Drosophila melanogaster: one gene and its partner. Changing the gene in region 1 together with any one later gene gives a genetic interaction. Each region holds a gene or a part of one and is shown on either strand. Other genes may lie near its edges. The genes, in order: Invadolysin and SNF4Agamma.

Region 1 (5,247 bases):
TGCCCAGCACCACATACAACTTGATAATATTCAGGCAGTAGATGTTACGATCAAAATTGTGGAGCTGCTTGACCCTCGGTCTCAAGCTGTGGCACGACATACTACCCTTGCTGTCGCGGCTATGCTTGTCCAGGTGCTTCAGCGGCATATGGCGCTTCAAGGACTTGCGTGCACGCATTGACCATTGCAGGTGGAGACTCTGCTCCCCTTCGGACTCTGAAGCTCCTCCGTGCGAGCGGTAGCCGGAGGCGTCTAGATTGCGCTGCAAAAGGAATGGGATCAAGGTGTTACAGTCGCATCTGAGTAAACATCACTAATGAATAGGCTAACTATGTCATTTATATAGCTTGTGGAGCTATAAAAGACGAACGTGTTCAAGTCAGCAGCAATTTGGTAAAGTGTGTCGTTGCAAATATGTCCATGCGTCTGGTTCTAATTGGCGTGGCCATCCTGGCATTGGCCTACGGACAACCTGTTCCCGGAGCTCCAGAAGTCACTGAAAGTAATTAGATAAACTAATCCTAACGCTTATTGTTCATCCAACATATTCGCCACAGATTCTAATCCAGTACAGGAGATAAATACAGCAAAACCCATGTATAATGACTACCAACGGACCCTTTTCCTGCTGCTGCCCCTGCTGTTTCCTAACCAATTCTATATACCGACTACCAGCGGCTAATAAACTACCTTAGTTCTGTTCCACAATCTGAACTTGGCGCGCTCGTCATTTGGGTCACCCGTTAGAGTGCTCTTCTTGCCCTTTATACCGACTACCAGCGGCTAATAAACTACCTTAGTTCTGTTCCACAATCTGAACTTGGCGCGCTCGTCATTTGGGTCACCCGTTAGAGTGCTCTTCTTGCCCTTTTTGCCTTTCTTGAATGTCTTATGGTTGTAGATGATGCGGGCATCTCTGAAAGAATTCGGAATTTAAAAATAAGAAATTTTAGGAGAATGCAAGAACCCACATGGGCAGCGCCCGCACATTCAGTTTAGGCAGTCCCGTCTTGTTGCTCTTGCTGAAGGCCACCTCCATGCTGTCCAAGTAAGCCGCCCACACTTGCAGGGTCATCAGTTTGAGCTCCGGCTTGGCGCCCATGTTGAGCAGCTCCTGGAGGAAGCCGCGCAGCACGTAGTTGTAGAATTCCCACGAGGTGATATCGTCCTCATCCTCCTTCTCCGTATCCTTCTTCTGTCGGATCGTCCTGGCTGTATATCGGCCTGCTGCCGTGTCATCAAAGTTATCCTCGGCGGTAATGTCCACTGCACGAATCTGATCCTTCTGTGTGCCACACTCTACGCAGTAGTAGAATCCCTCGCGCTCCTGGAAGGTGGTACCCTCGCACACATCGCAGTGCATGTTCTCCAGCTGCATCGTCTCGAGAACTTCCTCCATTTTTGGGACTTTCTCTTGACGGTATCAGATTTAAATTATATTATTAATCAAACTCGCGGTTGTACACAAATCGTGCATGTGATAGTGGTGGGGAATGATCTATGTTTACAACGATATCATCCGTTCTTCGATTGATTCGATATATCGTCCGTTTCTTCTATGAAAACGTACATCACTAGATTAAGGCGGCAAATAAAAGTTGGTTCAAAGTAACATATTTTTAGTCATGGTATTTTAATAAAATTTTATTTTTATATAAAATTTAGAGAGCGGTTTTTTTTTGAAAGTATATATTAAAATCTAATAAGCGTAAAGGGTATTTTTTATTGTTTTTTATGCCAACCTGTTAGATGCACTTGTACGTTAGCCATCACTGAACTCTAATCTCTCGTAACATTTCTGTTATCTTTTTGGTGTGACCATAAGCAGTAAGAATTGAATTATCCATGTCTTGACGCTTGATTTTTAAAAAAGTCGATTCGAAATATCGATAGGCAACGTAATTTTTTAGCGCTAATAAGAGGTGTTACCAGATTCGGAAAAGCATAAGAACGCGTTTTTCGTTTTCGTTGAATGGCCACTCTGTCCTTGTGTCCATGTACTTATGCATATGTATAGAGACTCGATTCAAAACAAAATCGGCTGGCGAACGTTAACGTCGTTGTCGGACGATTCGACTCGCGTCTCTCTAAGTTTGTTGTTCGTGCCAACCACCCCCGCCGGTACCCAAACGCCCCCTTTTCGCGCGAGTGTTTTTATGGTTTTGCTGAATGAAAAGGCTCGACGAATGCGCTTATTGAGTGCCCACTGTGTCGGGTATGGCAGTGAGTCCTACAGAATGCTCTCGCTGCACGGACAGTTCATGAGAATTTGACATTTAAGTGCGAGTTTGTTCCTCCTTTTGCGGCTAACTGCAGTTTGTAGTTTGCTGTAGTTTTATGCACATTTTTTTGGCGTGGGCTGAGATTGGGACACACCCACCCGAAAACAAAAACAAAAAGTAGTCCAAAGGCCCCAATAATTGAGTGTCTCTGTGTGTGCGTATGTACGTGTGTGTGCGAGTTGTTTATGTGTGCGAGTGAGAGGAAAGGGATTCGAATCGAGCCGGTTTTCGCGAGTTAATTGACAAAGCAAACGGCGGAAAAGCAGCAAACATAAGCAAACCAAAGAGGAAAATAAACAAAGAATTTTAAGTGCAGATATGGGTGTTCGAAGTCAAGTGATAATTAAACAAAAATCACACTAATCCTGACAATGAAAAGGATCACCGCTACAATGCTGAGTACTCTATAATATCCACGGCGATATTCCACCCCGAAGTAAAACACCATGGCCAAAACGCCCCCGCTCCGCCCCCACGGTAACATGGCCAAATTCCTGGCAGCCCTCGGCATCTGCTCTTGGCTCCTCGTTTCGGCCACCGCTCACAACTGCCAACACCAGCATCCAAAGGCCCACGAGGTGAGTTGCGTTCGTTTGGCTCCAAAAATGAAGGGATTGGATTGAATTGGATTGGACTCTATGGTATTGGGTTGAATTGGCCTTCTTCTCTTACTCCGCCCTTTCTTGCAAATAAAACAAATAATATCCGGGAAAGGGCTATTTTGGGAACACGGAATCTTTAAGTGCTCACCCGCACACGTGTGCCAAATATTTACAATCCCAACTACATTAATATTAGTCTTTTTTTTTTTAGTCTTGCAACTAGCTAAGATTTTTCATGCTAGATAGCTAGATTACAAGATAGTATAAGGTATGAAGATGGTTTGGTAATTTCAAAAGAAAGAGTCCTTAAAGTTTAAATCAGCTGGAAAATCGCAACTTCGGAAATTTCAATGCTCGAGTTTCTTGTTTGTTTCTGCTTCGGCCATTTGGGCAGATTGTCCTTCGTGCTCATTAGAGAAATTTCATAATTGGTGCAAACTGTGCTCGTCGAAAATTTATAATTGATTGGGCTTTGGCATGAAAAAGGCAGGCCTAATTAGTGCCGATTTAAGAGGAGCCCTGAAATTGCCATTCTCATAATTCTGCCATAGAAACAGCGGCAAAAAACTGAAACAATAAACATCTAGCGATGGTTGGTGGCAACCACAGCTTATTGACTAATTCCGCTGGCTAATAATATGCGCATTCGAGATTCAGTCAGTCAGTCAATGCAATGTGGTTTAGTTTGTCAGTCAGGTGGTGGGGCTGCATATTAACAGGTAGCTCATAACGTGTAACCCACCATCGTGGTTACCAAACCGCCTCCATCTGCACCACATCGACATCCACATCCAGTGATCTAGTTAGGGTTTAATGTCAGACGCTGCCCGCCAACTTGTTGCTCGGGATCTGCATTCCGTCGGGCTTTTGTTTTTGTGTCTTTGGAAGTTTTTCGCCTGCACTTTACTGCTTTCCAATCAACGGCGATTTAATTGGCGCGTCGCCATAAATAAAGGTCGCCTTCAATTGCGCAAAAAGGGGAAATTTACATGATTACTGTATCGAGGCGGGTACAGTCTGTCCTCCGTGGTTGCAACTGCAGTATAATCGAACATAAAATGTTCTCGGAAATATGCATTTCCCAGGTGTTTTATAACTTTTCAAATATATGCACTTGTGGAGAACGAAATTAATACACAGCTGTATATGGTGTGGCAGCTAAAAGCAACTATAGTGTAGTTTGCACAAAAGATACATAAGCTTTTTGCAAACATTGGCAGGATGCATCCTATTTTCAAACTCACCAGGGGACACAGAACTTTTTCATTCGTTAACAATATAAAACACAATATATGTATGAAAAATCTGTGCAAACGCTAAAGTTTTAATTAGCGAGTAACTACTTTGTTTTCAAGCCAGTAAAAGTGAATTGGAATGGCAGGGAAATGAATTAATTCAGCGACTGTCTGTTGATGGCTAACGATGCTGTCGAGGTCGCCCAGCGTGTAATTAATTGAATTATCTGTAACTTAAACTGTTGTAAATGCAAAAAACCGTCGTCCAGATTATGTGTCTCTCTGCGCACGGAATGTCCTGCTGTCTGGCCACTGAAAATCATCCTGACAGGAGCAGTGTTTGTAGAGGAGGATAAAGACATAAATATATGTATGGCGAACGAACCAATGGTACATACATATATGTTCACATCCGTATGGAACATCCATTCAATTAAATAGCGGTCCAGCTGAAACCGAAGTACTCGATTCTAATTAGTGTTATATAAATTGAAGAACGCGGCTGTCAGCAATTGCGAGAACAACTGCAGCAATGTGTAAAATTCGCCAAATTAAACCATTTGTCACGTTGCCAGCGTGCGTGCGCGCCTGTCAGCGATGTCGCGGACTGTATTGACCTTCTAATACGATAAACGCACACTTAACTTCAGAAAAACTGCCATTAAATTAAATTATCTTTTGGCTTAGCAAACTGAGCTGCAGGGAATCTCCATTCAGGATGAAAAGCTTTTTGATTCACGAGCTAAACTGAAAAGAACTTAATCAAAGCGTGATGCTAACATTTTCCAGTACAATCAAAACAGGTGCTGATTTGATATGACGAAGTTACACATGTTTCTATATTAATGAAACTCCCTAGGTAACTATAAACACGAATGCAAATGCATTCATATCGACAATGTGTGTTGCAAGCATCTGCATGTACATATGTATTTCCATTTACATATTAAGTGGATAGCAGTATATCCATACTATACTTCTGCATTTCTGCCTCAGCCGCATCACGATTAAATATTTATCAACTTGTCGAAAGCAAACTTTAAACAAGCAAGTTACGATGCAACAAAACGATCCGGACAGCAACCAACAAGAAGTTATTCAGCAAAGTTTGAAGCGTCCTTCTCGATG
Region 2 (5,148 bases), about 11 Mb from region 1:
TGATATTCAGTAAACTGGCCCAATTGAATGAACAAATTCAGGCCTTTGAAGTGCTCAACAAAACTGTTTGGAGTCAAGTGACCTTGTCCGTTTGAAGTTGTTAAATATGGCCCATTTTTTATGTGATCACTACATTTTCAAAGCTTTACAATTATATGTATACATTATAATTAATATTTGAAGTATTTCCTAAAGCTTCTTAATTTTAAACATAAAATCTTTCGATCCAATAAATAAATCATTTTTTAAATTGTTGGAAGAATTCCACTAAAGAATTCGCGTGTATGTTTTTTTTACCAGTTCTTGATAATATACAAAGTTGGAACCATAATCTAACAAAACAGGAAGGCTTTTCGTCTTTGTTTAAGATTTAGTTTCCTAGAATATCATTTTTTTCTACGCCTATTCAATTCCTAATCTCGAAAACAATTTCTGCTCCATTTCCCTGCTGATTTTGCATACTCAACCCCAAAAAACCAATACAATTTGCAACATGAGCACATCTAGTAAATATTTATTGCTCGCTGTGTCGTATACGTAGAATAATATTTAAACAATAATATTGATTTTCGAGCAAAGCAAAGTTGGGTTCTTTTTCTGAAAGATATTGAAAGAGGTTCGTTCAACTCGGGCTGGCGAACCAAAATGGAAAAACGAGAAGAAAACTGGAGGGCGAAGACAAGATGGTGGGGCTCGGGGAACTTGAGTTGAATTGAACAAAGTCAAGTCAATTACAAAACCAATATTTTCGGAAACTAAACAACAATATTGAATTCGATCGAATGGACCAGAAACCGAGTTATTTTATTGCCATCTGCTAATGCGAACAGTTTTAATTATTTATGCTTTATCCCTTCTATTCGCTTACTCGCACATTTATGGCTAACTAATTGCTAAGATAAACAAACAGTTTCGATTTCAGTGCAGCCACTTCGTAAGGACGGAAAGTAGAAACAAATCCAATTTCACGGATCTCGACGATCACTGGTCGATCTGCTGATCCGGAGTATCGTGTGCATGTGATTAGGAATAAATCCATACATACATATGTATATCCATTCGAACACGAGTTTCAAATACGTTTTGTTTACATTGGCAGTGCAATTTTTGTTTTAAGGTAATTGGCGGCACACAAATCGTGGCAGCTGTAAGTGCGAACATTCAATTTTACCATATAGTGCGACTGACTATCTGCGACTTCTAGTAGTTGTATCCGCAGATCAAAGTTCGACATTTCCTGATTGCCAACTTCAGTAGCTATCTTTTTTTAATTTCTGGGCATTCGCTTGAAGTGTGCTTACTTAATTAGTCAATGTCTAAAATGTAGTAGGCATCGTGATAGGGTACTTTTACATTTAAAGAAATCCACTCACGATTTTATAACCATAACTTCAAATGAGTTTCGACAAAAAAAAGTCGTATGAAGAATTCAGGTAAGACCCTTTGAATTGTTTTATGTTATTATATTTTACATTGCCTGATTTAATACTGTTATTCCTGTTATTGATACTGTTATACACTATCTATTACATAATTGATCGCTTTTATTAAATGTTTTCTAAATATAAAAAAATTTAATAAAATTGTTTACACATTCTGAAAATCTAATTATGAAAAAATTTTGGGCGATTTTGGGTATTTTCCCAGCGTCGCCGCGAACTGGGGGAATTTCCCACCCACTCAACTTAGTCACCGACACAAAAGGCAGATGAAAAGTTTCGGGGAAAATCAAACGTCAAGCGCTCATATCAACACAAAAAGAAAATAAAGGCAGTGAAGTAAATCAGGTTTTCGATAATTATAAAAAGAAAATAAATTGTCACCCACCTTTTGTGTGTTTTTATCAGTAATTGGATGTTTCTGATTCGCGCTGGCAGATTGCAGAATCACAATTGTCGAATTTCGGTTAAAAAATTAATTTCACGGACACAGGAACGCATACACACATCCGCACATTCACGTACACACTAACACACATTCACGTTCACCTGAACGGGTGGAAAACAAAACTTTTGTAAACAATTTCGCGATTAGGCATTTAGCTGCGCTAAGAAATTATTGTAAATAAGAAGAGACGTAACGAATTAGCTGGTTGTGTTGGCGCATTATATGTTATATATATGTTATGAGTGTATATTCAGAGATTAGAGCGAAATTATAATGACGACTTTTCGCTGGATGTCCAAACACTTTCGAGGTGTTGACTTTTCAGATTAGATTACAGCACTCATTTCACTCGGCTAATTATCAGCCATTTGGTTCAACACCAAATAAATCACAAAACACGAAAACACCAGCAACAACAACCGAATCGATCTTAATAAAAGCAAAGAATGCGAGCCATAAAAATCAAGAATCAAAATGAAAATTTATTCGGGCGCGCGCTTCCACTTTGGACTCGACTTTCCAATTGGAACACGCAGTGATCGGACAATGGAAGGGGTGAGAAGAAGAAGAGGAGCAGCAGGACGTTGTTGTGTTTGCCACTTTTTATTAAGAATCTAAACCATTACTGCGCGAAACACAGCTAGAAACTGACACAAGGAACAAAAACAGAAGAATAGCAAATCTGGGCAAATAAAAGTATTTGTCCGTGGAAAATTTCCAAAACGTTTCTGTCGCTCTTTCCAGCGACGCCATGTGTTTGTTTGTATGCGTAACAGCTGATCGCCGATTATTGATTTTTTATAGGGATGTACATATGCACACATGTGTGTGTATGCATGGGCAGGAAAAGTGATTAGAGGCTATTGTTTTGTGTAACAAGAAAGAAGTTTCACAATTCACTTGCGCACTCAAAAGAACAAAGATCGATTGTCCGTTGTTGCCGTTGTTGTCACTGCAATTTCTGCAATCCATTCGCGCACAATTAAAAGCTGTTCACGCAGCTTATCACAGAAGAATTTTATGGCTAAGCCACCCACTGGCGCGGACATGCTATCCTGACACCATGCCGGAATTTTCTCTCAATTAAATTATTTATTATAAATTAGTAAGAATTTAAGAACATTTAATTTGCTTTGTTTTTCACTGCACTCCCGTTTTTTAACGCGAATTAAAAGTTTTTCCCAACCTCGTAATCCGCTGCGTTTTCACCAAGCAAAGTTCGCAACCTAACTCACGATTGTGGTCATCGTTATCGTTTGCGAAATCCAGCAGAAAAGGTCTTACTCTTCGCCTATCGTTATCGCTAGAGATCTTTTTACAATCCAGTTGGAATTAGCGTGACCACAACTGTAACGTTGTTTTAGTATTTTTCTATAACTCGTTGTTTGCAATTTTACTGAAATATGTGCATTTAAATAGTAAATTCTTAAGTGCCCACTCGCGTAAGTAAATACGCACATATATCTACTTATTTATTCAATAAACAAGAATCATTGAGAATTCTTTAGTTGCGTAGAAGTTATTTTAAATAAAATGCGCTTTGCTACTTTCCGGCGGCGGTCACACTTAAAAAACAACGCGTTGCCAGATCGGACCGTGTTCGCAATAGCAATCAGTTTTTGTCATGCACCGCCGCTTTAGGCGCCAAAATGATATAAGTTTGAATTGCAAAAATTGCTCCGCTCTGTAAATCACGCCGAACATACAAAATAGAAAACATTTTAGCTATAAAAAAAACTTTAGCTTTTATAAAAAAAGCTATAAAAGCTATAAAAAAAACTTTAGCTAGCTTTAGCTAAAAAAAATTAAACTTATGTACATAAGCATATTCCTATTTCCATCATAGTGCTGGAAATTAGATTTTATGCCCCATAAATAATCATAACCAGTTGCCTTGGCATGCCTTTCACACTTTCGGAGCCCACCCAAACTCTTTGAAACTTCAGCTAAGCCAACAAAAATCAATAAAAATGGCGCATTGCACAGAGGCCACCGAGGAGCACACAATGACGCCACCAGAAACAGCAAAATACTTGAAATCGGAGTCGATGAATTTGCCACCATTCACGAACTTCATTTAGACCATTCCAAATAGGTCCAAGGACGCAATAAATACATTTGAAGTACTCTCGAAAATAAGTTTCCTCGATGCTCAGGGTTTTTTGCTAGCTCGATCAATCAATCCCAGCCGAGGAACTGGGAACACTCACCTGCTCGATGTCGAAGTCCCATTCGGGCGATGGAGAACGCGCTGTTCGGCCGCCCGGCGGAGGCGTTCCCAATGCGGGGGAACCGGCTTGGGGCTCTTCGGGAATCACGGCGAAGCGACCCCGCTGGAGGATTGGCGAAATGGCGCCATAATTAGCTGCAAAGGCGAAAGAAGGGGTCAGTATTCAGCACCATGCATTTATTATCGAGAATTTGACCAAAAGATATCAATTACTATTAGCATAACTGTAATGATTAATGTCGTATACTTTATATAAACTCAAATTGTAAAGGCGAAAAAGTACCAAATCAACTTACACGTGGGCATGAGACGAAAGCGGCCGAGCGTCGTTTCGGGCGGGCCCTGTGGCGTGGAGGAGGTGACACGGAAGCGTCCTCGGCGGGCGGCGGCCACGTCCTCGTAGTTGCTGCCCCCCGACGCTCCGCCGGCACTGCTCTGCATCCTGTGGCTGATGCTTCCTTGTCGGCCTCGCCGAAAACTGCAATGGAGTGTGAGAAAAATCAAATCAATATTGCGCACAGGTGGCAAAGTTCTTGTTTCCTTTGACTAAAACAACTGAAACTCAATTAAGCCAATGGCATTAGAGTATATTGATCTTTGATGGAACTATATAAAACATTTTCCGTAAATTCTCTAATATAAAAAACTTAGCAAAACTTAGATATAAAGACGCTTTTATGAACACTAAAATTAACCAATCAAAACAATTAAAACAAATGGTCATTGATTTATATATCTTGCATTATACATACCTAATTTTATATAGACTTTACTTGAACGAATTTTAACTAATAGTTTCAACTCAACTACAGCTAACATTTCCTAACATTACTAATACGCCACGTTGGCTCTATGGAATGACTTTAGTTCAACGCTGTTGGTTTTTTTGGCTTGGTAATCCGAGTTTCGCCCCACTGTGCAGTGGTCAGAGGCAGTCGGAAAGTTGACTTTACGGGCTCATTGCACGCTAGTTTAGTTTGGCTTTCTTGACGCCTCTAAGCAGACTACATAATGTACACATTGGCCACGCT

What was found.
Region 2: of Invadolysin (region 1) and SNF4Agamma, changing one enhances a phenotype caused by changing the other (phenotypic enhancement), as found in Drosophila melanogaster (one study listed by BioGRID).

What each region holds. Positions count from the first base shown.
Region 1 is NT_033777.3:10,142,673-10,147,919, forward strand, and holds the start of Invadolysin (invadolysin), read left to right. Parts: upstream 1-1,995; 5' UTR 1,996-2,728; coding exon 2,729-2,860; intron 2,861-5,247. Other genes in the region: TAF1B (TATA box-binding protein-associated factor RNA polymerase I subunit B), read right to left, coding at 1-262, 796-916, 972-1,399; CG42759 (uncharacterized protein), read left to right, coding at 415-502, 558-682. UniProt on the Drosophila melanogaster protein: Essential for the coordination of mitotic progression, and also plays a role in cell migration.
Region 2 is NT_033777.3:21,154,337-21,159,484, reverse strand, and holds the start of SNF4Agamma (SNF4/AMP-activated protein kinase gamma subunit), read right to left. Parts: upstream 3,124-5,148; 5' UTR 3,074-3,123; intron 2,048-3,073; exon of another isoform or gene 1,989-2,047; 5' UTR 1,828-1,988; intron 248-1,827; exon of another isoform or gene 96-247; coding exon of another isoform or gene 1-95. Other genes in the region: cDIP (common Dpr-interacting protein), read left to right, coding at 1-95.